6 linked regions of the Callithrix jacchus genome follow. The protein of the gene in region 1 binds, or shares a complex with, the protein of each later gene. Links are inferred from orthologs where the notes say so. Each region holds a gene or a part of one and is shown on either strand. Other genes may lie near its edges. The genes, in order: VTI1B, BNIP1, STX5, VAMP7, STX18 and BET1L.

Region 1 (3,500 bases):
TCTCACTGGAGTGCAGTGGCGTGATCTCAGCTCACTGCAGCCTCTGCCTCAGCCTCCCGAGTGGCTGGGATTACAGGCACCCGCCAACACACCTGGCTAATTTTGTATTTTTAGTAGAGACAGAGTTTCCCCATGTTGGCCAGGCTGGTCTCGAACTCCTGATCTCAGGTGATCTGCCAGCCTCAGCCTCCCAAAGTGCTGGGATTACAGGCACAGGCATGAGCCACCATGTCAGGTGCTCTGTAGCATTTTCACTTGATAAATAGCATATAGACCAGTAGATGAGGAAACCACTAAATGAGGTTCAAATAAAACCAGTAGAACCACACTCCACCCGCCTGCCCTTTTCCAGCCTCCCTTTTCAAGTGATCTGTCAGCTTCTAATCTGTGACGATCCCTCGTACATCTGTGCGAAAATTTTAAAAACATCAGCCTCAAAATGTCTAGTTTTGCATCAGCAATGTCAAGCCAATATCATTTTCAATGTCTCTTAAACTATAATCAGGATGCATCATGAAACAGGAGTTGTTTAAAACTGTAGTATGAGCCTTTCTACCTCTGTTCAGACTGCACTGGTGGGCCCCTTTCCATCTCTCTTCTGTGTTACTTGCCAGGCAAGTCTTACTTTGTGTTGTGTTTATGGAAGATAGACCAAATGCAGCACATTTAACCTTTCAGACGTTTAATTTCTTTAACGACTAGCTTCTTAGATGGTTTCAGAATACAGATGTTCAATTAGTCCAATCTTATAAATTAGAATCCTGAAAACTAGAGAGCAGTCTGGCTCACTTTCCATTACCACAGAATAAAATGATAAAAAGCTCCACGAGAAGCACCCTGCATTGGCTACAGTATCTCAGTTGCTGGGCCATCTTGACATTAAGGTAAAGGAAAGCTTGGATTGATTTTGAAACAATACTCTGATAAATTAGAAACCTAATGGAATTTTCCAGGCATACTTGAGAAAGTGATTCTAAAATTTATATGAAAGAATAAAAAAGATCAAGAAGAAATTAGATCAATGGGTCAGAATCCAGAAAAAATAAGTAACACTTATATACTACTATATACAAAGCACTATTTTTATTATAAGACTGTATTATATTAAGGATAAAAGGAAATCTAAATATGCATATGATTAGAAAGGGCTACATTAAATAGAGCATATACCAAGGGAATAACAGGAGCTGGATGCAGAAAAGAGGATAAGGGTGAAAAAAATATTTTCTAGTATACACTGAAAACATGAAATAATCCAACGATATGGTTAATTTTTGTACCACAGGCCCTTAAGGAAAAAAAAGGAAGCTAAAACTTACCATATGCTCATTTTCTACAGCATATATGCCATACTTCATATCTCCTCGGCCTCCAGGCGTGGCTGTCAAAGGTGTGCTTCTCACCTCCCGATGGATTTTGGCAAGGTCCTTCCGGTAGTTTCGAAGCTTAGACATCATGGGGTTACGGAAAGAGAGGGGTGCATAACGTAGCTCCTCCTCCATCTCTGCCAGCTGGGAAGGCAGAAAGTAGTGAGTAGATGGCCTGGTTCTTCCCTCACTCATTTGGAAATATGCCTAGTTTGGATTAATCAAACTACTTATTTATTTGGACTACACCAAGTAAATAATTCAACCATATGCTACATAAGGCAGGACCATTTCTGGGATGTTCTTCTCAATCCAAATGCCTAGCACAGTGCCCAGCAAGCACAGAGCAAGCATTCAAAATATATGAACTGAATGAATGAATGGAGAGACAAAAGTATTTTAGAGCTTACTAAACATGTTTCTATATATCCTCCATTTAATCCTCATAACAAATCAATAAGGTAGCAAATGTTCCATTTCATATATGATTTACAGAAACCTGCTAAAGATTACACAAAAAGGAGGAGTCTGGACCAGGCATAGTGGCTCCTGCTTCTAATCTCAGCCCTTTGGGAGGCCTAGGCAGAAGGATCATTTGAGCATAGCCTGGGCAACACAGCAAGACCTCATCTCTATAAAAATAAAATTAAAAAGGAGTCAGGATTCAAAATCTTCAAATTCTTGGCTCTCTTCAATATACGGTTGAACACTGCCATCAAGAAGTGCTTTGAAGTCTACTGTACTAAAAACTTTTCCTGCTCCTCTTTCTGAAAATCAATCATGTTTGTCTCCATGTCAGAGACAACCAGGGGCCCACCTCAGAGCAGGTGCTTTAGAGGAATCAGACTTCCATTCTTCTAGGATAAGTAAAATGTAACACCTGGGGATGTTCACAAGCAGCCCTAAATTATTTTCATCTGCCTGGAATGGTCAAGGTAGGATTATTTTGTTGAGTTCGAAGAAAACAAGTATCTGAGCACCAAACAAATCAGTAGTAGCTAGATTTTTAAAAGGCTACCAATATGTTAATCAAAACAGGAGAATGGCTACAAACAGGTATCATGGACATGCCCAGCTGTACACAGGTATTAAGAAAAATTCCTAGTACTCCCATTAGGAAGAAGATAGTTTCCACAGTCTGGTAGCCTGGTCCTTCATAAAGCACATGCAAAACAGAGAAAAGGATGCAGATGTGCTTCTTTTTCACTGGGATAACTGGGAAATTGAGAAGTTGATCTTCAACAGGCAAGAAGGCAGTTCGCTGGCTAAAACAGAATTTTTTTCTCCATCTGCTCTGGGATGGCAAAAGCAGGGGCAACTATTTCTGCAGGGTTCTAGCAGGGACCAGGATTTTGGCCCCAGTCTTAATGGGTTTGCTAGAGTATAATGAAATGGAGTCAAAGGACTCTTGCTTCCATAGAGCTGGAGGAAAAACAAACTTTTTTTTTTAAAGAAAAGCCACAAGTGAAGAGAAGCAACTTCTGACAAACTTTAGGTCCCACCTGAAGCTCATGCATGTCTTGCCTGAGGTACCAAGTCCAGCTACAATGCTGTCTTTTAAGACAGAAAGGGACATGGTTAGAATCACCTCTGAGCTACATTTTCTGTGTCAGTAAGTTTAACAAAGAACAGTTTTTTTCTTTTTTTTGAAGCAGGGTCTTGCTCTGTCACCCACACTGGAGTGCAGTGGTGTGATCATGACCTTTCAGGCTAAAGTGATCCTCCCACCTCAGCCTCCTGAGTAGCTGGGTCCAGAGGCATGCACCACCAATCCTGTGTAATTTTTTTTTTTTGGAAGAGATGGGGGTCTCCCTATGTTGCCCAAGCTGGTCTTGAACTTCTGGCCTCAAGTGATCCTCCTGCCCTGGCATCTCAAAGTGTTGGTATTATAGGTGTGAGCCACCACACTGGCCAGTAACCTATCTTAATGGCCAGCTCTTAAAAAGAGATTTTAAGAGACTGCTTGGGTAAGGGTATGAGAATGCCCTTACTACTCACATCAGCAATATATTATCAAAGACTCATATTTCAGGAGAGTCTTCAGGTTTTACCCATTTGTGTTTGTCAAACCTCCTTAATACCCATCCCCATCAGTTGGCTTCATTTAGTAAAAAACAGTCAAAATCAAGATCA
Region 2 (3,500 bases), on another chromosome or scaffold:
GAACAGGTACCTTTGCCTTAAAAGATCTCCTCCCTGAAGAAGTTCTGCTTTCTCTAGATTGTCGATTGCAATTTTGCAGGTAAGATTAGCTTTCCTCCATGAAGTCTGATTGCTGGAATGAAAAGGTTCACGTGTGAGTGTGTCTACTCCACCAGGCCATAAGTCAGTTCAATTCACAGCAGTTCCCACCAACAAAGGAGTGTGGGGAAAGGCCACCCAGGCAGGCATGGCCTTCAGAGCCCATCCTACTTCCTGCCATTTCCTCCTCCTGGTCCCCCAGCAACTGTTCTTGTTCAGGTCCTGGTAACCCTCAACCTGGAGGCCACCACAGGGAGGCTCTATAGCTGTCCCTGGAGGCCACCACAGGGAGGCTCTATAGCTATCCCGCTGCCCCTGTCATCCTGAGGGGCTGTGAACATGGCACTCCCCTGTGCACAGCTCCACAATGGCTGGACTTCAGGGAGGCATCCAAACTCTCCAACTCGGCACACAGGCCCCTCTTCTTTCCAGTTGCTTCTAAGGCTGTACTGCTATGGCCTGTGTATTAGTTCATACCATCCCTTGAAAACCATGACTTACTCATCTCCAGTACCTTGAACAACCATTTCTGGCCCTTCAGCTGCTGACTTCATATATATTGTAGGAAATAAAAACTTATGGCCCAGCACAGTGGCTCATCCCTGTAATTACAGCACTTTGGCAGGCCGAGGTGGGTGGATCACTTGAGCCCAGGAGTTCAAGACAAGCCTGAGCAACATGGAGAAACCCCGTCTCTACTAAAAATACAAAAACTAGCCAGGCATGGTGGTGGCACATGCCTATAGTCCCAGCTACCTAGGAGGCAGAGGAGAAAGGTTCACCTGAGTCTGGGAAGTGGAGGCTGCAGTGAGACATGATGGTACCACTACATTCCAGCCCAGGTGACAGATTAAGACCTTGTCTCAAGATAAAAAAAAAAAAAAATCACAAAAAGCCAATCTTTCAAAATATTTCTTCAAGGTTTGTTGTTCTTTCCATACTACAGACCAACCATGAATGACACAAACATGGTGGATGAGCAGCACCCTGATTGCTATGGCTGATCTACATTCTTCATCTGCACTCCCTTGTAGGTGATAACGGAAATTTGGTGAACAGTTTTCTGGGGTTAGAAATGTGACAGATGGGTGTGGTGGCGTACACCTGTAACCCCAGCACTTTGGGAGGCCAAGGCAGGTGGATCACCTGAAGTCAGAAGTTCTAGACCAGGCTGGTCAACATGGTAAAACCCTATCTCTTCTAAAAATACAAAACTTAGCCAGGCATGGTAGTGGGCACCTATAATCCCAGCTACTCTGGAGTCTAAGGCAGGAGAATCGCTTGAACCCGGAAGGCGGAGGTTGCAGTAAGCCAGGATCGCACCACTGCACTCCAGCCAGGGCAACAAGAGTCAGACTCCATCTCAAAGAAAAAAAAAAGAAATGTCACAGCTGTTGATAGACTATAAAAAAGCTAACTGAGTCCCTCTAAGAATCCAACTCATACTTCAGAATTCTTACATAGGTAGCTCAAACCAATTGTGCTAATCCCTGGAAATACTAAATAATCAAAACACAGAGTACATGAACTGACAGGGTGGTTTTCTAATAGCACCTTTATGCTGAAGGTCTTAATGAGTACCCGCTCTACCATTTCACACCTGCCACTTTGAAAGAATCCATTACATTTTGAAACAGTTTGCAAGGGAGTTCTGCAGAGTTTTGCAGAGCATGGGATCCAGAGATGACTGAGGGGCCATACCTCTCCTCAAAGGCCTTACATTCACACATTCATTTAAGAAAAAGACAAGCAAACAGATACTCACTGTATGATGTGACAAGCATGATGACCCAAGCAAGCACAACTACTGTTTCAACTGCCAAAGGTTTTTTTTTTTTTTGAGACAGGGTCTCGCTCTGTCTCCGAGGCTAGAGTGCAGTAGCATGATCACGACTCACTGCAGCCTCAACCAAGCCCACTGCCCTCCTGCCTTGGCCTCCCAAGTAGTTGAGACTGCAGGCACACACTACCACTCCCAGAGCTAATTTTTCTTTTTTTTTTTTAAATAGATGGGGTCTTGCTTTGTTGTTCAAGGCTGGTCTTAAGCTCCTGGGCTCAAGCAGTCCTCCTGTCTCGGCCCCCAGAGTGCTGGGATTACAGGTGTGAGCTACTGCACCTGGCCCCAAAGTATAAATTGACTGCTTTCTCTGCTCTGGCCTGTAACGCCACATCGTGGATAAACGTTCCCTGCTTTAAACCCATGCTAAGCTGAGTGTGTCCGTCATAACTTACTATACTTTATACAAGGGCTCCTCTGTACTCAGTGTTTATAATCTGAGTAGGCTTGGTGGCTCAGGAAAGCAAAAGCCATCATAACATAAAGTAATCACGAAAGAGTCAAGCCCTGGATCACTGCCCGTCACTCATACAGCCCTCCGTGCTTACACTGGCCTCCCTGTACTTGTGTTTTTGCCAGTTAGTGTCTTCCTGGCAGCTGACTGTTACATACACAGCTGCTTTCAGGGAAGATGATGCTGGCAAATTGCTCAAATCAGAAGCAAAGCCACAAATACAGATCTGGCAGAGGCAGAACACTGAACAAGAGATAAAGAGAAAATCCATGGGAATGATGACTTAGCAGGAGCTTCAAAAGAGAATGATCTAGCTAGGCACAGTGGAGCGTGCCAACTACTTGGGAAGCTGAGGTGAGTGGATCGCGTGAGCCCAGGAGTTTGAGGCTGCATTAAGCTATGACTATACTCCAGACTGGGCAACAGAGTGGGACCTCATTTCTAAAATTTTTTATTTTTTATTTTTTGGAGACAGAGTCTCACTCTGTCACCAGGCTGGAGTGCAATGGTGCGATCTCAGCTCACTGCAGCAGCCTCTGCCTCCCAGGTTCAAGCGATTCTCCTGTCTCAGTCTCCAGAGTAGCTGGGATTACAGCCACCCACCCACCATGCCCAGCTAATTTTTGTATTTTTAGTAGAGACGGCATTCTACCTTGTTGGGCAGGCTGGTCTCGAACTCCTGACCTCAGCTGATCTACCCACCTCAGCCTCCCAAACTGCTGAGAATACAGGCATGAGCCACCACACCTGACCAAAAATAAAGTTTTAAGAAAGAGAGAGAATGATCTGAATACCTCAAATATGTTTGGAAAAACCCTCTTTAAGATTTGTACAAAAGTCAAATGTGAAGAGAAAGGTACTGGTTCATGTTGTCTGACAATTTCATTGGAAAAGTTAAACCTCTCCCAATCCAATAACAAGAAATGGCACCTAGCTGTAATTACATAATCAAGGATTAGCATGCACCTGCAATTATAACCTCAATTTTGGTTTTATTTTTTGACCTCATTTGTTTAATTTACGGTTTTTGTTGCATTTTTTTTTAATAGCATCCCACTCAAAAACCTTCTAAATTTTGGTCCACCTTAAGTAGGTCTTCCTTTTGTAGAATTTTTCTGTTGCCAATTATCT
Region 3 (4,146 bases), on another chromosome or scaffold:
TGTTGCTAAGGTCTTTCCCAATGCGCCTGCAAACGACCACTAGTGAGACTGGGAAAGGGCAGGAGAAGGCCTTTTCCCATATAAGCTCCAGCACAACCAATCCCAGACTTCACAGCCAAGGCCACTGAAGGCAAGCCTACTTTTCTTCAGACATTGTATCACCCCACCAGAAAGCTTCTCTCAACTCACTTGGCCATGAGGGTGAATTCACTGCGCTGTCGGACAGCACGCAAAGCTGGCTTATTTGTCTGGATTCCATTCTGAAAAGCAATGGCAGGAGGTGACAACTTTAGATCCCCCTTCCCCAGTTCCAGTTTTCACTCTTCCTCAGGTGTCCACTAAACTATCTCTAGTACTGGTGGCATCCATCCAATGATCTAGATTTATCAGTGGTAGTGGTTTAGACTCCAGATTTGAAGACAAGTAAACCGGAGTTCAAATCTTGACTCGCTACTTACTAGCTAGGGGTTTTGGGAACGAGTTACTTAAAACATTCTGAATCTCTTATTTCCCCTTCTGTAAAATGAAGACAATCCACACCTCTCCGCTTCTTGTTGCTAAGATTAAATAACAAAAAAGCTGAAAAGTACTTTCATCAACTACCTGGTACATTGTAAGCACTAAATAAATGGTAGCTTGTATTGCCATTCTATTCCTCAAATCGGGAAGTCAGTGAGGATGACTGCAAAGCCCTTGGAGATCACATAGAAGAGCAGCTTTACCAACAGATGAATAGTTAAAAAAAAACTTTTTTTTAACTGTTCTGTTTTTGAGACAGGGTCTCACTCTGTCTCCCAGGCTGGAATATATGATCATAGCTCACTGTGGCCGTGACATCCTTGCCTCAAGCGATCCTCCCGCTCAGCCTCCCAAGTAGCTGGGACTACAGGATACACCACCACACCTAGCTAATTTTTAACTTTTTGTAGAGACAGGGTCTTGCTATATTGCCCAGGCTGGTCTCTAACTCCTAGCCTCAAGCAATCCTCTGGCCTAGCCTAGGCCTCCCAAAGTGCTGGAATTACAGGTATGAGCCACCGTAACCAACCCATTGATTTTGATACAAATTACTGATCTAGGCCAGGTGTGGTGCCCAGACCAACCTGGGCAACATCGTGAGACACTGGCTATATCAAAAAAATAAAAAAATTAGCTGTGTGGTACATCCATGTAGCCCCAGCTGCTCAGGAGGCCGAGAGGTAAGAGGATCCTTTGAGTACAGGAGTTCAAATCTGCAGTGAGCTATGATCACACCACTACACTCCAGCCTGTTGATAGAGCTGAAATTAGATCTCAAAACAAAACAGAAACAAAACAACAAATTACTGATATAGAAAAATGTCCTTCGTCTTACAGAGATTAAAAACTAAGAAAGACATAACTAGATTAACTAATTTTCTCATGGTCACAGAGCAAACTTATGGCAGAAGTATACTGGAAAATTCAAGGTGGATGTCTCTCAGCTAAAGGCTCTTCCTACAACTTGTTCCTTATTCACACCAATTATATTGCAGCCAAGTCTGGCCCTGAAGTACTCTCTCCAGAATAGCAATCCTGCACTCCAGGGGATTCCTCATTAAAAAATGTCTAAGTCCTTGCCTCTAATTAGCCAGCCGACCTCTTCTCTGTTACTTATAGCAGACCTTACTAGCCCCATCCAAGCCTATCAGTTCCATCAGGTTTCCCCAAGAATTACTTCAGTTAACAGTGCTGGAGCACAGTCCTTCCTAGATTTGAGTAAGAGTCACTCCTCACCTTTTCCACTGCAGGTCCTTACCTGACGGCTCTGCAGCGACTTGCAGGCAGACAGAAACTCCTGGGTCCGATCCCGGCAGGACATGGTGTCGGGAGGGGGAGGGACGAGGGCCACTGGGGGGGGCAGAGGGGCGATGTCGTTGCTGCTACTGCCAGCAGTTGCAGGGGACAGGACCTGTGTCTTTGAGAGACCCAGGTAGACACCCTGATCCGTGTTCTTAGACCCGTAGCGTTTCCGCGGGATCATTGAGACGCATAACCTCGGACTGTTGTGGAGGGGAGAGTGTCATTTCCCCAGGCAGCTTCTTTACCCAAACTCCCCAGCCCCGTCCCAATCAACAAATCCTCGAGCCCCTTCTGCACTTTTTAAAGACTTTCGCGCCCAAGGCGCTCGCAGATCCTGGAGCAGGCCCGCAGCGGAAAGGGCCCCGATTTTCCCCTGGCCCAAGTCGAACCCTCTTCAGACTCTTCTTTCAACTTGGCTCTGACGGCCAAAACGCGGGCCGAGGACCCTGAAGCAGGGAGAGGGCCCGAGCCAAGTCCTGTGGTCCTGAGACTCTGGCCTGGCCTGTGTAACTGCCCCTACCCAGCCCTTTTGTATCTGCGGTTTCCTTCGGCCAGGGAGAGCGGGTGACGGACCTCCAGAGAGGGACACACTTCGGTGGGCGGAGGGGCAAACCTCTGGGTGTTTATTTGAAACAGGAAGTCCCACCCCCCGCCCAAGGTCCGCCTTCTGGAAGACTTCAATCACTCATTAGCTAAGGCCGACGTCTCTCTCAACAGAGGCTTTCCTAATTGGACGGCAAGGAATTCGCTCACCGGGAGCCGGGCCGGCAGGACTTGCCCGCTCGCCCCTGGTTCCCTTCCCCCCGCCAGTCGTCGCCCCCGTAAAACCACTACCCCGGAGCTGACACGGTGTCCAGACACCCTCTGAAAGCGAATCTTACCTCCCCTCTGCCGCCTGCCGCCGCCACCACTGCCAATCTCCCCGGCCGTCACCGCCTCCTCCCTGGGAACCGAAGCCGCCGAAACCCGACCAAAGACTGGAAGCGGCCACGTCACCCACACGTAGCCCCACCCCCGGTGACGACGGGGCGGTCCCACACGTTTTCGAGCCCGGCTATCCGAGAGACACGCCCCTCACCAAACGCAAGAGCAACCCCACCATCCCATTGGCTAAGATACCACCATGACCCCGCCCCTGAAGACAACAGCCGGAGCCCAGGGGGCTGGGCCCGCCTCCGGGGAGGAGCCTTAAAGAGCCAGCCGCCCGGAGGTGTCCGCGCCCCGTCCCCAGAACGGTCTTGCAGGTTCACGTCAGAAATTTTATTCTCTGGAGGTACGGGTGGACTAAGAGCGGGTCTGGAGTCATCCCTTCTCCGGCTCCTCCTGGTTGCCTTCTCGGATCGGAGTCTCCTTCTTCCGAACCACGTCTGATTGCCTCTTGCTTGCCCGCGAGGAGCCCCGACGACTGAACAAGGATAGCCGCCGCCACAGCACAGTGATCAGAAGGCTTTCGTTCGACTTGTGATTCCGGTGGTCTGGGGCGTTCACGTGGATATTTTCGGCGCCTGAGGGGACGATGAGGCCTCTGAGCTCAGCCCTACCCTCAGGAAGCCCCCTCTCCCGCTCCCTGGGCCCTCTTCTTTTATCTGTGGCCTCACCTTCCCCGAGGTCCTCGGACTCTTCTTCCTGCTCATCAGACATCTGAAAGTCCTTGTCTTGGCAGCAGCCCATGGCCCCGCGCGGCCCCAGACTCCGTGCCACCCACACCAGCCTGCCTGGCTCCAGGCCCGGCTTTGTGACATTAGGTATCCCGTCACCCCAGCTCAGGGAGCCCCCACCTCAAGCTACCCCTCATTCCTTTCTCCCATCACAAAAGGCTCAGGGTCATGGAGGGTGTTTAGCTGTTTATTTACAAACTGGGCACAGAGGGGTGTCAGGGGCTGGTGGACCCAGGCCGCTTCTTCTTTCTCCGCCTGGTTTGGAGAGCTCCTTGGGTCTGCTCCAAATCTGAGAGCTTCCGCTTGGCAGCTGCCTCCAAGGATGCCCAAAGTTCATCTGTCTCTGTGTCTTCTAGGGGCACGTTGTTGGGTTCTTGAGGTTCTTGGGGCTCATCCTGGTGAGTGGGAAGAAGCTTCACAGTCAGGGGGGCCGGGCACAGTGGCTCCCGCCTGTAATCTCAGCACTTTCGGAGGCCAAAGCAGGATTGTTTGAGCCCAGGACTTAGCGACCAGACTGGGTAACATAAGGAGACCCCGCCTCCACAAAAAGAAGTAAAAAACTTCTGGGTACCACCACCTTTATTCCCCACTCCCAGAAAGCAGCCCCATCCATATTCTTGGCAATAACCCTCTCAGGATTTTAACTGTTAATGCCTCTCAGAGAAAT
Region 4 (4,050 bases), on another chromosome or scaffold:
CCACCTCGGCCTCCCAAAGTGCTGGGATTACAGGCGTGAGCCACCGTGCCCGGCCTCCATTCTTGTATCATGAGCAGACCATTAAATTAACTGGCCCACTAAAGTAAGGCGGTAGACAAGGTGCTCGGGAAGAGATGGGAGATCATTTTAGGAGGAACGGATGAAACAAGAGAAGGCATAGAGGTGAGAACAAGGTAAAGAAGGTACATAAACTAGCCTGATGAGATGGAATGGTCCACCTTTGGTGAATGACAAGATTGAGGAATACAGCTGATGGCCTTACATAGAGAAGGTCTTGTATAAATCATGTCATTTAAATTTGATCAGATATGGAGTTTTTCTATTTCAGTTCAACACATATGTACTGAGGGCTTGCTATATGCTAGTCAAAGTAGACACTGGAGGTATAAAGTTGATGAAGAAGGGACTCCTATACTTGAGGGAGCCATGGTACAATGAGGAAGACAGATATAAATAAATGTGATAAAGTGTAATAAGTGAATAATCTAAGACTGTCCACAACCACTCAGGAAATTTCTTAATGCTTTGTGATGATCTCACCTTGGGTGAATAACAGGAATGTAGGTATCAGCTTATGCCTTAGGAATTTCCTCACTATACTGTTAGGATTATTTCTCCGTGGAAGAGAGGCCAAAGTGTCTATTTTACCCTACTTTCCCAGTGCTCAGCACGGTGCCTAGCAGTTAACCTTCCCTCAAGTATTTTTTTTCTTTTCTGAGACGGAGTTTTGCTCTTATCCAGGCTGGAGTGCAATGGTGCGATCTCGGCTCACCGCAACCTCCGCTTCCTGGGTTCAGGCAATTCTCCTGCCTCAGCCTCCCGAGTAGCTGGGATTACACCCAGCTAATTTTTTGTATTTTTAGTAGAGACGGGGTTTCACCATGTTGACCAGGATGGTCTCGATCTCTTGACCTTGTGATCCACCCGCCTCGGCCTCCCAAAGTGCTGGGATTACAGGGTTGAGCCACCGCGCATGCCCTCAAGTATTTGTTGAATAAGTAAGTGAACATTGAGCATACTTTGGTTTTAAATACACTATAAATGATAGATAACTTTATATTCAGAAAGACCTAGTAAGAATAATATTTTCACAACCAAATCACCTTTTGAAGTAAGATAAAGCAGTTGAGCTAACAGTAATCCAATCCCCAACTCTTCCATCTGGGAGTTAGAAAGAATAAAGTAACTACAGATAAACCAAGAATTCGGATGCAATAAGCTTGGAGGAGATAGAAAAAATGAAGAATAAACACTGCTTAGAAAGGGGAAAAGGAGAGGTGTTTATGAAGTCAGGTTATAGATCAAGATTATTCCTGTTAGTATTACAACTATTCTTTCTGGATGATGCTCTGAGACCCAATCCAATCTCTCTGACTTTCTTAGGATAGGATCCCACCCTTTCAAGTCAACCACCTGTTTTATTTCACATTAGGCAATATATAACATAATCCTATTTCTGTTTTCCCCTCTAGACACAAACATGTAAGTTCCTGAGTGTAGCAACCTAAGTCTTGTTTACAGCTGTATCCCCTGCACTTAAAAAGAGAGTCGGCCAGGCGTGGTGGCTCATGCCTGTAAAATCCCAGCACTTTGGGAGGCCGAGGCGGGTGGATCACGAGGTCAAGAGATCGAGACCATCCTGGTCAACATGGTGAAACCCCGTCTCTACTAAAAATACAAAAAATTAGCTGGGCATGGTGGCGTGTGCCTGTAATCCCAGCTACTCAGGAGGCTGAGGCAGGAGAATTTCCTGAACCCAGGAGGTGGAGGTTGCGGTGAGCCGAGATCACGCCATTGCACTCCAGCCTGGGTAACAAGAGCGAAACTCCGTCTCAAAAAAAAAAAAAAAAGAGTGTCAAGCACAGATCAGCCACTCAATAAATATTTGTTAAACATACGAATGGATCTGCTCTCAGCCACAAGTATTCAAAGGTAATTAATATCCCTAACATGGCTGTATCTCTGGGATCAAGGGAGGGAGAATGGAGATACAGGTAGTTGAAAGCAATAAATGAGGCCGAATGAAGACAGCTGATTGTGAGAGTTATGGGAGTGGGAGATGTAAAGCGTTTACCAAAGACGCTAGCACGTGGTCAGAATTTGATAAACATTGGCGGTTAATAAAAACACCAAACAGGTCTGAAGATGAGGAAACAGGTCTAGGCGGAGATACAGTTCCTAGCCAAACAGAGGAAGAAGTGGACTGTCAATAATGAGCAGTGGAGGAAGGGTGAATAAGGGGCCAGGAACCCACGAAGGAGCATAAACAGCCAGAAGTAGGTGAAGCGGAAAGTGACGTCATCGAATAAGGACGCAGAGAGTTTTTAGAAGACTCGGTCGATCTCAAGCGATTTAAATGGTACAGAAAAGTCTTGTAGAATGCAAACTGAGAGAAAATTAACATTTTTTCCCTCCTGTAATGACAGCTTAAGTGACGCATTCTGACACTCTTTTTAACTCGAGGCCTTTCCAGCGGCAAAAGACGCACCTCGCCGAAACCGGACCTGCCCGACAACCGGTACTGTGTACACCAGAGAAGCCCAAGTCACCCTTACACTGCCTACCCGCTCCACCCCAGCACCTTTCCGTCGACACCTTCCCTCTCCCTCCGCAGTTGTGTTTCCGCCTCCCACAGAGCGCGCCCCACTCCATTTACCTGTCCGGGCACCTTCTGAGGGCGCGCGGGCTCGGGACCTAGGGGCGCGGGTCAGCGCAGGGTCGCCAACTGCCCGCTCCCAGAGGAGGCTGGGACCCGACGCCGCTAACTTCCGCGTGAAGCGCCCCGCCTACGCGTGGCCTCTTGGGAATGGGAGCGCTCCTCCAATGGCAGCAGGCAACAGGGCTAGGCCTGCTAAGTTCCCAGCCCCGCCCCCCCCGCACTTCCCAGGAGCCGTAGTGCATTCCGGGAGTAGTAGTTCCGACTGGCCACGTTCCGGGGACAGCTCTGGCCGTAAACAACGTCAAACGCCGTATAGGGATCCACGCAAATGAGAGAATGCAGGCTAAAGATTCTACCTGTAATCCCAGCACTTTGGGAGGCCGAGGCGGGTGGATCACGAGGTCAAGAGATCGAGACCATCCTGGTCAACATGGTGAAACCCCGTCTGTACTAAAAATACAAAAAATTAGCTGGGCACGGTGGCTCGTGCCGGTAATCCCAGCTACTCAGAAGGCTGAGGCAGGAGAATTGCCTGAACCCAAGAGGCGGTGGTTGCGGTGATCCGAGATCGCGCCATTGCACTCTAGCCTGGGTAACAAGAGAGAAACTCCGTCTTAAAAAAGAAAGAAAGAAAGAAAGAAAAGATTCTACCAGCAGTGAGTAGGCGGCATAAATGAAGAGCCACGCTTGCCCCGTCTCTCCTGCTTAGTTTCAGTAGGCAACATTGCCTGTTTCTTCACCGACAAAATAGAATTCAGCTGACAGGAAGTGCCTCTATTTTTGCCATGAAATGTTCTTATTTTCTTGTACCCCTCACCAATCCTTTCTCCCATTCTTTAGCAATAATAATGATAACTACTACTCTCCTTTGATCTAAACCCATCCCTCTTCCATCCCTATTCCCTGTTGCCGAATCAGAGTCAAGCTCTTCTTTTATTTTTGAGACGGAGTTTCGCTCTTGTTACCCAGGCTGGAGTGCAATGGCGCGATCTCGGCTCACCGCAACCCTTCTGGGTTCAGGCAATTCTCCTGCGTCAGCCTCCCGAGTAGCTGGGAATACAGGCGCCTGTCACCACGCCCAGCTAATTCTTTATATTTTTAGTACAGACGGGGTTTCACCATATTGGCCAGGCTGGTCTCCTGGTCTCCTGGTCTCCAACTTCTGACCTCATGATCAGTCCACCTCAGCCTCCCAAAGTGCTGGGATAACACGCATGAACCACTGCGCCTGGCCCTTATTTCCTCCTTTTTGAACTCCTTTATTCTCTTAGCTCTATGCAAGATGCTATACACTCCCGCTTCTCCTCTTACCTCTGTGGCAGCTCTTCATTTTCTTTTGAAATGTTCACATTCCATAGGGTTCTATCCTA
Region 5 (4,086 bases), on another chromosome or scaffold:
CTACATTTCCTTAGGTCTGACAATCAGGGCTAAATCTGAATCAGGATATGTGCACCAGACTTTTCTGTATAAGGAATCCAGGCCAAACAAAATAACACCAAACTTTTGACACATCTAACTGTAGTGAAAGCACAGGACATCCATCACTAGTTCTTCTAGTTAAACTTTCCACAAGAAAAGATGCGGAGTGGGAAACAGTTGCAAGTATAGAAGATAACACACAAAGCAATGACAACAGAAAATCAAAACTGCTTAAAAGAATATATGTTTCCTCTAGGTCAGGGGGACTGTGTCCCTGAACAACACAGCCCATATACTCACTTGAGGTGATGTGACACGTACCCACATCAATACATAGCAGAATTGGAAGTTTCACTGCCATGTGGTCCAACCCTGTGACACATGGACAAAGTTCTTCTCAAACATCTCTAAAAAGCAGTCATCACTCTGTTTAATGACTTCCAAAGACAGGGAACTCAGCACCTTAAGGGACTGTTGCTGTTACTATCTCTGAGGCCCATAAACTCAAATGCCTAAAACACATTTTCACCACTCAGGGAGAGGTGGAAGTGGTTACAGGACTCTCCAAAGGGCTTGCCAACCCAACTGTTGCCTCTTGCCTCTCCAATTCCCAAATCCCCCCTTTCCTTGAGCAGGACTCAAAATTAGCACAGTGCTAATAAATCAGTGGTTTCAGAGTTAGAAGGGGCCCTTCAAAAGACAATATTATACCACAGTTCTACAAAAGGAACCCCAGGAAGTGCTTGGGACAAACTGGGAGTATAGGGAGGGAGAATGTCCTGTTTCTCTTCCTCTCATTTCAACCTAGGTAGCTCTCACTTTGATGTGTTATATAGAGAGGATCAAGGTAGTTTTTTAAAAGGAGGAGGAGGAAAAAAAAGGATCATTCACAGGTAAATAAAATAAGGTCTTAAAACTTGCTTAATGAAATCATGTAGCTAATAGTTGCACCGTCAGACAACAACCTGGTCTCTTGGCTCGCTCCATCTTTGGTGCTTTCTCTATCATATAACATCTGCCCACCTACAAGGCCAAATTCAAACTCTGCAGTGATATACAAAGCCCTTCAAGATCTCCCCCTGCTGCCACTCTATTCCAATTTTTATGAGAAGTCCCACATTCCAGTCCCACTCAAATGTTTATGAACCAACTTATGTCAGACAATTACCTACCTCCAGACCTTAGCGCACACTATGCTCTTAGCCTGAGATGCCCTTCCCCACCTTGTCTGTACTGAAACCAACTAATCCTCTTTCAAGACTTGTTTGAAGCATCATCACCTCTATAAAGCCTTTTCTGATCCTCAGGTAGAACTGACCACATTCTTCTTTGTGCCCTACACAACACTTACAGGGCTTTACAGTACTTGTTTTATTTCTATGTCCGTATCCTCAACCACTCCTTTTACATCATGTTACTCTAACATGAGGCTGGTCAAAAGGTAAGTGCTTCATAGATGTTCATCAATGGGGTAAGTGTATTCATCTGGTCCAATCCCCTTTCTGAGGTTTAAGTATCTTCAGCTAACTGTCATTAATGCACGCATGCATACATTCATTCAAAAATATCTGAATGTCTATACAGTGCCAAGTGCATGCCAAGCAGAGGTAGATTTAGCGTGAAATTAATGAAGCTTAAGCTTCAGGGTCCCTCACTTCAAACTTCCAAAGCTCTCAACCTTTCTTGGCGGTTTTCTTCTTAAAAAGAGGAGACAGAATTATATAAGCTTTAGGCCCCACAAAAACTAGATCCCCACTTGGTGTCACATATACAATAGGGAACAAGACAAACATCTCTCCCGTTGTGCAGTTTTCTGCCTCGTGGTAAAGACAGCCATTTATTCATTCATTCATTCAACAGACATTTACTAAGCAATGCTGTATAAGTCATGCATTCTGAGATGAAAACAACACTGTCCCTTCCCTTAACGAAAAGGTTCCTAGTCCCAGGGAGATGAAGGAACACCTGCTCTGTCCAGGAAACAGAAAGTAGTTGAGATGACTTAACACTGTGAAAGATTATCCTAAACCTGTCTCAAGCGGAACTGAGTCCTACTTATTGCGAAGACAAAGTAAAGAAAGAGTTCGGTTTAATACGGTTTTAATCTCAACTGGGGGTGGGAGGCAGGCAAGCAAACAGAACAGGCAAATACAGTGTGGTCAGTGCTTCGACAGGAAGCGAAGGACTGTGAGGAAACTTCCCGAGTGCAAGTCTGTAATGACAGCGATCTCATGACCTCACAAAGCCGCCCATGCACTTTCCAGATAGAGATTTCTGAGCGTCTTCTTCTTCGCCCCCTAAACCCCGCCGCCGAAGGAGAAATCCGTTCCCCAATAATGCGTCCCCCTTCCTCAAAATAAGGCTGCTCCTTCCCCCAGAAGCTGTCGGCTGAGGCCAACTGTACTGTCCTCCTTGGGGCCACACTCTTTACACAATGCTTAAGGGACGAGGTCTGGTTTGGGGCCTGGGGTCCCTGTCGCAGGTCTGTCCCCTCCTCAAGCCGCCGTTTCCATAGCAACCAGCTTACCACTTCGCGGGCCCGGCTGGAGAAGTCGCCCTTGGGCCTGGGGCTCCGGCGGAACAGCTCATCCCGGCTGCCATCGACCCCGCCGCCCACCGCCACTCCCAGCGCCTTGTTCCGCGTCTTCACGGTCTTGACGCTGGCCCGGAATAGCAGCGTGATATCCACCGCCATAGCGACCCGCACCCGCAGCCCCAAACGGGACCCGCCCACGTCAGCAGCCAGCGACCGCGGCGCTAATCCGCCAGCTAGAGGACTGGTCCTACCCCGCACGCCTCCCCCCGGCAACGGTGGCGCGAGAAGAAAGGTTCCGGCCTGCGCCCGGCTACCGCGGCGGGAGGAAAAAGGTTCCGGCCTAAGCTGGCGCGCCTAGAGGAGGAGGGACCCGGCAACGTGCTCACGGGTAGTCCCTTCTCCAGGCAAAGCTTGGAGGGTTTAGCAGCACGGAGAGCTCTCCTATGTCTGTCTGGGGCTTGTGGGCTCCGGGAGCATAAAGACCGGAAAGCTGGGAAGTTCCTTCCCTTCTGGTGGCTCCCTCACTGAGCCCGGACGATTTGGTTGCGGGGGACGCGAAGGCGAGACCCCCTTGACCTTTGACTGCAAGGACTCACCCTGAGCATGTCAGAGGCACGTGGACGGTGACCCTCGGGGTGCAATAAGTGCTGGGACAGAGCAGGTGTGCAGGGCACAGAGCCAGAGGCCTTTGTTCTCCAGCCTTCCGCCACCTCTTCTGTAAAGGGAAGCCAGCATCCTCCTCGGAGTTTACTGTGAAAATTAAATGACCCGACGCGTGCTGTTTTGGTGTTTCTTGGCTCCCAGTAAGTGGCCAATAAATGGTAGTTATCGTTAATATGTTGTTATTATAATAATAAAAACATATTAATAAATGTTATTAATAAATATTATAATTAATAAATATTATTATAATCTTATTTGTGGTGAGAAAGAGGCTCTAGAGAGAAGGCGTCACCTGTGCAGAGATTTGAAGGATGAATAGGAACTTTAGATGGAGACAGAGGTGAAAGGGTGACCCTAATGCCGCTGGATTCTGTTCATCCTTCATGCATAGTTTTCAAATCTTGAGTCATAAACAATGACAAGTCAGTCAATGAGTTTCTTCTGCATTTTTTGGTTCATGGTTCTGGGGTGTGTGTGTGTGTGTTTAAGATGGGGGTCTCACTATGTTGCCCAGTGAGATTACAGTGGCTGTTCAAAGACGCCATCCTAGCTCACTACTCACTGGAACCCCAGGGCTCAAATGATCCTCCCCCGCTCCGCCTCCTGAGTGACGGGGACTTTGGGCATGTGCCACCTTGCCTGGCCTATGGTTCAGTGTTAAAACAAAATCTCAAGATTTTTTTTCATAAAGAGAATGCACAAGTAGAATATGTGTTAATGCAGTGGTTTAAATGGTCACCAATATAAAACTCTTTTCATAATACTAAGACGTTACTTGCCTTTTCACTCTCACTTCCTCATGAGTTGTATACACTTGAGTTTGTTAGAGACTGTGTGTGATATTGCAACGGAATGAATGCAGAACA
Region 6 (4,286 bases), on another chromosome or scaffold:
GCCCCCCCCCCCCGGCCTCCGGATACAGCCCCTGCCTCGCTCTCCTACCCGTCCCTGCCACGCGTGCCCCCCCCCCCGGCCTCCGGATACAGCCCCTGCCTCGCTCTCCCACCCGTCCCTGCCACGCGTGCCCGACCCCGGCCTCCGGATACAGCCCCTGCCTCGCTCTCCTACCCGTCCCTGCCACGCGTGCCCCCCCCCCCCGGCCTCCGGATACAGCCCCTGCCTCGCTCTCCTACCCGTCCCTGCCACGCGTGCCCCCCCCCCCGGCCTCCGGATACAGCCCCTGCCTCGCTCTCCCACCCGTCCCTGCCACGCGTGCCCGACCCCGGCCTCCGGATACAGCCCCTGCCTCGCTCTCCTACCCGTCCCTGCCACGCGTGCCCGACTCCGGCCTCCGGCGGCGGCTCACCTCCTGGTTGTACGACCGCAGAGCTTCCATAATCACATCCTCCTTCCCCGTCTCCACGGCTGCTGCAACCGCCCGGGGCTCCATGGCGCCCCCGGGACCCGCCCCAGCCGTTCCGGGCCGCAATTCGCCGGCCCCGCCCTGGCCCAGAGAGCTCCGCGCCAGCGCGCATGGGAGGCCGGGACGGGGTGCGGCGTCGGGCGGCGCCTTCAGGGGGCGCGGCCTGGAGCCGAAGCGGCGGTTCGAAGGTTTCCAGACCCGAGTCGCCCTCGACCGAACTGACCCCTCTCCTTGTGACCCGCGCTTCTTGGGCAGGAATTTCCAACGGGAAAGGATCTCAGCCCCCACCTCGCCCTGCCACACACACAGCGCCGCCCCTGGATCTCCACAGAACGGATGGGGTGTGGAGGGGGAGCCGAAGTGGGGGACTTTTCAGTCCTGGGCCATCGGGTTCGTTAGGCGTTTGCTGGGGAACGCAGGCGAACGGGACTCCTAGGTCCATGCTTTCGCGGAGCTTTTGTTCCCGAGGGGAAGGCACACAAGCAAACACCAAAGGACACGAGGCTGTGCTTCAAAACGGGCAGCGAGGAAACGCTGCTTTTGCTGACACCGGACGACAGGAAGTGGCCGGGAACAGGGCTCCTGCTCGGGGGGGCCTGCTCCCTCCTCATGACGCGCCTGTGAATCCTTCCCCGCCGTTAGGACCTAACCCACGGAAGCGTCTATCCCACACCGTAGTCCTGGCACCGAGCCAACAGCCCCGCCCCGCCCTACGCTCACAGGAACAACAAACGTCACATCCGCGGTGGCGCACACCAGTAATCCCAGCACCTTGGGAGGCCGAGGCGGGAGGGCTGCTTGGCCCGGCAGGCGGAGGGTGCAGTGAGCCGAGATCGCGTCACTGCACGCCAGCCTGGGACGGTGCGGAAAATGAAAGGCACATCCGTGCCGCGCTCCTGCGACCGGCGGTTCCCAACTCGTAGCCCTCAGCCGGAAGTCAGCGAGTTCAAGGCGGAAGGGGCAGGGGCATATAGGGGCGTGGTCGCTGCGGAGGCGGGGCCGGAAGTCCTGCCCCTTGACTGCGCCACGTCCGAGGCGGCGGTTGCCGCGTCGGTGTCGGCGTTGAAGAGCCGGGGAAGGCACCATGGCGGACTGGGCTAGGGGTGAGCGCCAGAGAGCGGAGTCGTTGGGGGCGGGGCCGGGCCCGGCCGGAGCCGACGCTGTTACCTGCAGAGCCGCGTACGCCTGCCTCTAAACTGTCCTCGGCGGAGAGGACCCTGTCACGGGGGCAGATTCGGATCCTTCCGGGTCCGAGGGGGCGGCCTAGCCGCTCCAGCGAGGGGTCGCGCAGCTGCGGGGTCCCCCAACTCTCCGCCATTCCCTGTGAGATCGTTCTGCGTGGGTTCGGGGTGCGGGAGCCTCCGCATTCGGCAGGTCCCGGGGCCAGGCCCTAGGAGTACAGGCCACGCGTGCACCGTTGGTGTCCAAGCAGGCGTCTGCTAACTTGGGCCTCGATGGCCCCAGTCCCCCTCCCGGAGCCCGTGTTCTTGTCTGCAAAGTGGGATATTGATGTTTGCCTGTCTGTGTTGCACCCGTTGCTTACATTGAAGCTAGGCAGCAGGTGGTTCTCACCTACCTGATGTGACAGAAATTCCTTATCACCTGGCCCAGCCTATCACATCACAGGCCAGGCCGCTGCAAGCACTATGCTCTGGGTGTTGCGGGAAGCCCTCTGTGGGATGCAGACCAAGGATCCCTCTCTTGGTCGACCTCAGCTCCCATGGTGGGGAATTGGGAGCTTGGCTCAGACCTTTTTTTGTGCGGTAAAGCGCCTTCTCAACATTCTGTCCTGGTTCCTTGCCACCTCTTCAGGAGCCAGCTCTGAAGTCGCCCCTGTAGGAGCCTTCCTACTGCTCTGCTGGGTACTTTCCCCAAGCCTTTCCTACACTTTTACACAGATGGGACCTCCATGGATGCAAGTGTCACATCTTACCAGCATCCCAGGGCTGGGTGCAGTTTCTGCTACACAGTGTGGGAAACTGCTGGTTGCACCGAGCCTGTTGTGGGTGCTTGCCCATCCCCACCTGGATGTGTACACAGGGCGTGTGTTCACATGACATGCGCTTACTTACACACATCGTTCTTTATGCAGCCTGCCTCACATGTGCAAGATCCACCTGCTGGAACCTGGTTAGGGCCTTGTGTCTGCCACCTGCCCAGCAGACACAGGGCCCAGTCCCCCTGGATTTCCAACTCACCCAGATGTGGTTGGAGCGACGGGTCAGGGGCCGTGCTCACCGGTGGATGCAACCCCTCAGCCTCTCTCTCTTCTCAGGTCAGAGTCCTGGTGCTGTGGAAGAGATACTAGACCGGGAGAACAAGCGAATGACCGACAGCCTGGCCTCCAAAGTCACCAGGCTCAAATCGGTCAGTGGTGGTCTCCTGTCCTCTTACCTCTACCATGTGCCCTTGGGGGGTGGGGGTCAGAGGAAAGGCAGACGGCCCAGAGGAGTTTCAGGCAGTTTTCTATCCTCATGTGCTTTGTGGCTGTGCTCACCTGCATGAGGCCCCACCTGGACCTCTCTGCTGCTGCAGCACTCTGGCAGAGTTGTTGGCAGGGCTTGTCTGGTCTGGGGAGGGTGAGTGCTGCATTATGTGTCTGCTCTGGCCCAACCCTGCCCTCTCTGTGCTGAACAGCTTGCCCTGGACATCGACAGGGACGCAGAGGATCAGAACCGGTACCTGGATGGCATGGTAAGGGCCTGCCCCAACACTACCTGCTGTAGAGCCTGCAGTGTCTCCTTCAGCACTGGTGCGGGTGGGTGGTGAAATCACCACTTCTGTGTGATCTTGCTGGGATTCCCCCTTTAGGACTCGGATTTCACAAGCATGACCGGCCTGCTTACAGGGAGTGTGAAGCGCTTTTCCGCAATGGCAAGGTCTGGACGGGACAACCGGAAGCTTCTGTGTGGCATGGCCATGGGTCTGATTGTGGTCTTCTTCATCCTCTCCTACTTCTTGTCGAGGGCAAGGACGTGAACCAGTGGGAGCTGGTGTCTCTGGGTGCCTGGCGTCTTGGGCTCCAGAGAACTTACCTACAAAATACTCCTTTGAAATTACAATTGTGGGTTTGGAATCTTCTTCCTGTGGGGCAGGAGGCTGTGGCAGCCTGTGACCTGATGAGCTCATGTTGGCTGTGGAAGGGACTCTCTTTTGGGGAAACCAAGGGCCAGCCCCTCCCTCCTCCCCCAGGTGCTAGAGACACCAGCAGAGTTGGGGCCACAGCATGTCTGGAGGAGCCAGGTCCAAGCGCAGCAGCTGTTGAATCCCAGACGTAGCCACTTGAGGCCTGCAGCCTTTCTCCCAGCTCTTGGGACGCTGACATCTTAAGGCCCTATGGCTGTGTCCTTGTCTGGGTGAGGCCATGTCTGTGATCCAAGGTGCCTGGAGCTGACACAGGAAGGGACTGTGAACCCTGAGTGAGTGCCATCTCCTCCGACTGAGGCCTCTCAGCCTGGAGATGACGGTTCCTTCTGGCCACGGTTGCTAGGCATGGGCAGACCAGCGTGGGCTACTCTGCTGTGAGTTTTCTCTGCCTGCTCTCCAGTCCTGCGGATGAAGTGAGACCCTTGGGGAGAACTGGGGTGTGGATGGAGTGAACTGCAGCCTTGGCCTAGTGGCTGCGCCTGGATCCTTCTGGGTCATGTGACTGTATCCAGGAGCAGAAACTTGCGTTCTCAGGAGTCAGGATCAGCCCAGCACCAAAGACGTGTTTTCGGGAGAGCAGACCTAGAAGTGGGCCTGTTTGGCATTTCAGAGTCAGGCAAACCTGTGGATCTACACAGGAAGGTTCCTGTGAGGACTCCAGTTGCCGCCT

Evidence for each region.
Region 2: VTI1B (region 1) and BNIP1 share a complex: the UniProt entries of both Homo sapiens proteins name them as parts of the SNARE complex. The link is inferred for Callithrix jacchus from reciprocal best matches to the Homo sapiens genes VTI1B and BNIP1.
Region 3: VTI1B (region 1) and STX5 share a complex: the UniProt entries of both Homo sapiens proteins name them as parts of the SNARE complex. The link is inferred for Callithrix jacchus from reciprocal best matches to the Homo sapiens genes VTI1B and STX5.
Region 4: VTI1B (region 1) and VAMP7 share a complex: the UniProt entries of both Homo sapiens proteins name them as parts of the SNARE complex. The link is inferred for Callithrix jacchus from reciprocal best matches to the Homo sapiens genes VTI1B and VAMP7.
Region 5: VTI1B (region 1) and STX18 share a complex: the UniProt entries of both Homo sapiens proteins name them as parts of the SNARE complex. The link is inferred for Callithrix jacchus from reciprocal best matches to the Homo sapiens genes VTI1B and STX18.
Region 6: VTI1B (region 1) and BET1L share a complex: the UniProt entries of both Homo sapiens proteins name them as parts of the SNARE complex. The link is inferred for Callithrix jacchus from reciprocal best matches to the Homo sapiens genes VTI1B and BET1L.

What each region holds. Positions count from the first base shown.
Region 1 is NC_133509.1:102,657,367-102,660,866, forward strand, and holds part of VTI1B (vesicle transport through interaction with t-SNAREs homolog 1B), read right to left. Parts: intron 1,512-3,500; coding exon 1,320-1,511; intron 1-1,319. UniProt on the Homo sapiens protein: V-SNARE that mediates vesicle transport pathways through interactions with t-SNAREs on the target membrane. These interactions are proposed to mediate aspects of the specificity of vesicle trafficking and to promote fusion of the lipid bilayers.
Region 2 is NC_133503.1:65,516,282-65,519,781, reverse strand, and holds part of BNIP1 (vesicle transport protein SEC20), read right to left. Parts: intron 113-3,500; coding exon 11-112; intron 1-10. UniProt on the Homo sapiens protein: As part of a SNARE complex may be involved in endoplasmic reticulum membranes fusion and be required for the maintenance of endoplasmic reticulum organization. Also plays a role in apoptosis.
Region 3 is NC_133511.1:120,112,070-120,116,215, forward strand, and holds the start of STX5 (syntaxin-5), read right to left. Parts: upstream 2,801-4,146; 5' UTR 2,703-2,800; intron 2,022-2,702; 5' UTR 2,003-2,021; coding exon 1,778-2,002; intron 261-1,777; coding exon 190-260; intron 27-189; coding exon 1-26. Other genes in the region: TEX54 (testis-expressed protein 54), read right to left, coding at 3,124-3,492; WDR74 (WD repeat-containing protein 74), read right to left, coding at 3,695-3,874. UniProt on the Homo sapiens protein: Mediates endoplasmic reticulum to Golgi transport.
Region 4 is NC_133524.1:151,451,252-151,455,301, reverse strand, and holds the start of VAMP7 (vesicle-associated membrane protein 7), read right to left. Parts: upstream 2,801-4,050; 5' UTR 2,678-2,800; intron 1-2,677. UniProt on the Homo sapiens protein: Involved in the targeting and/or fusion of transport vesicles to their target membrane during transport of proteins from the early endosome to the lysosome. Required for heterotypic fusion of late endosomes with lysosomes and homotypic lysosomal fusion.
Region 5 is NC_133504.1:184,727,321-184,731,406, forward strand, and holds the start of STX18 (syntaxin-18), read right to left. Parts: upstream 2,801-4,086; 5' UTR 2,717-2,800; coding exon 2,549-2,716; intron 1-2,548. UniProt on the Homo sapiens protein: Syntaxin that may be involved in targeting and fusion of Golgi-derived retrograde transport vesicles with the ER.
Region 6 is NC_133511.1:131,725,833-131,730,118, forward strand, and holds the start of BET1L (BET1-like protein), read left to right. Parts: upstream 1-1,486; 5' UTR 1,487-1,553; coding exon 1,554-1,572; intron 1,573-2,744; coding exon 2,745-2,836; intron 2,837-3,106; coding exon 3,107-3,163; intron 3,164-3,280; coding exon 3,281-3,448; 3' UTR 3,449-4,286. Other genes in the region: RIC8A (chaperone Ric-8A), read right to left, coding at 413-496. UniProt on the Homo sapiens protein: Vesicle SNARE required for targeting and fusion of retrograde transport vesicles with the Golgi complex. Required for the integrity of the Golgi complex.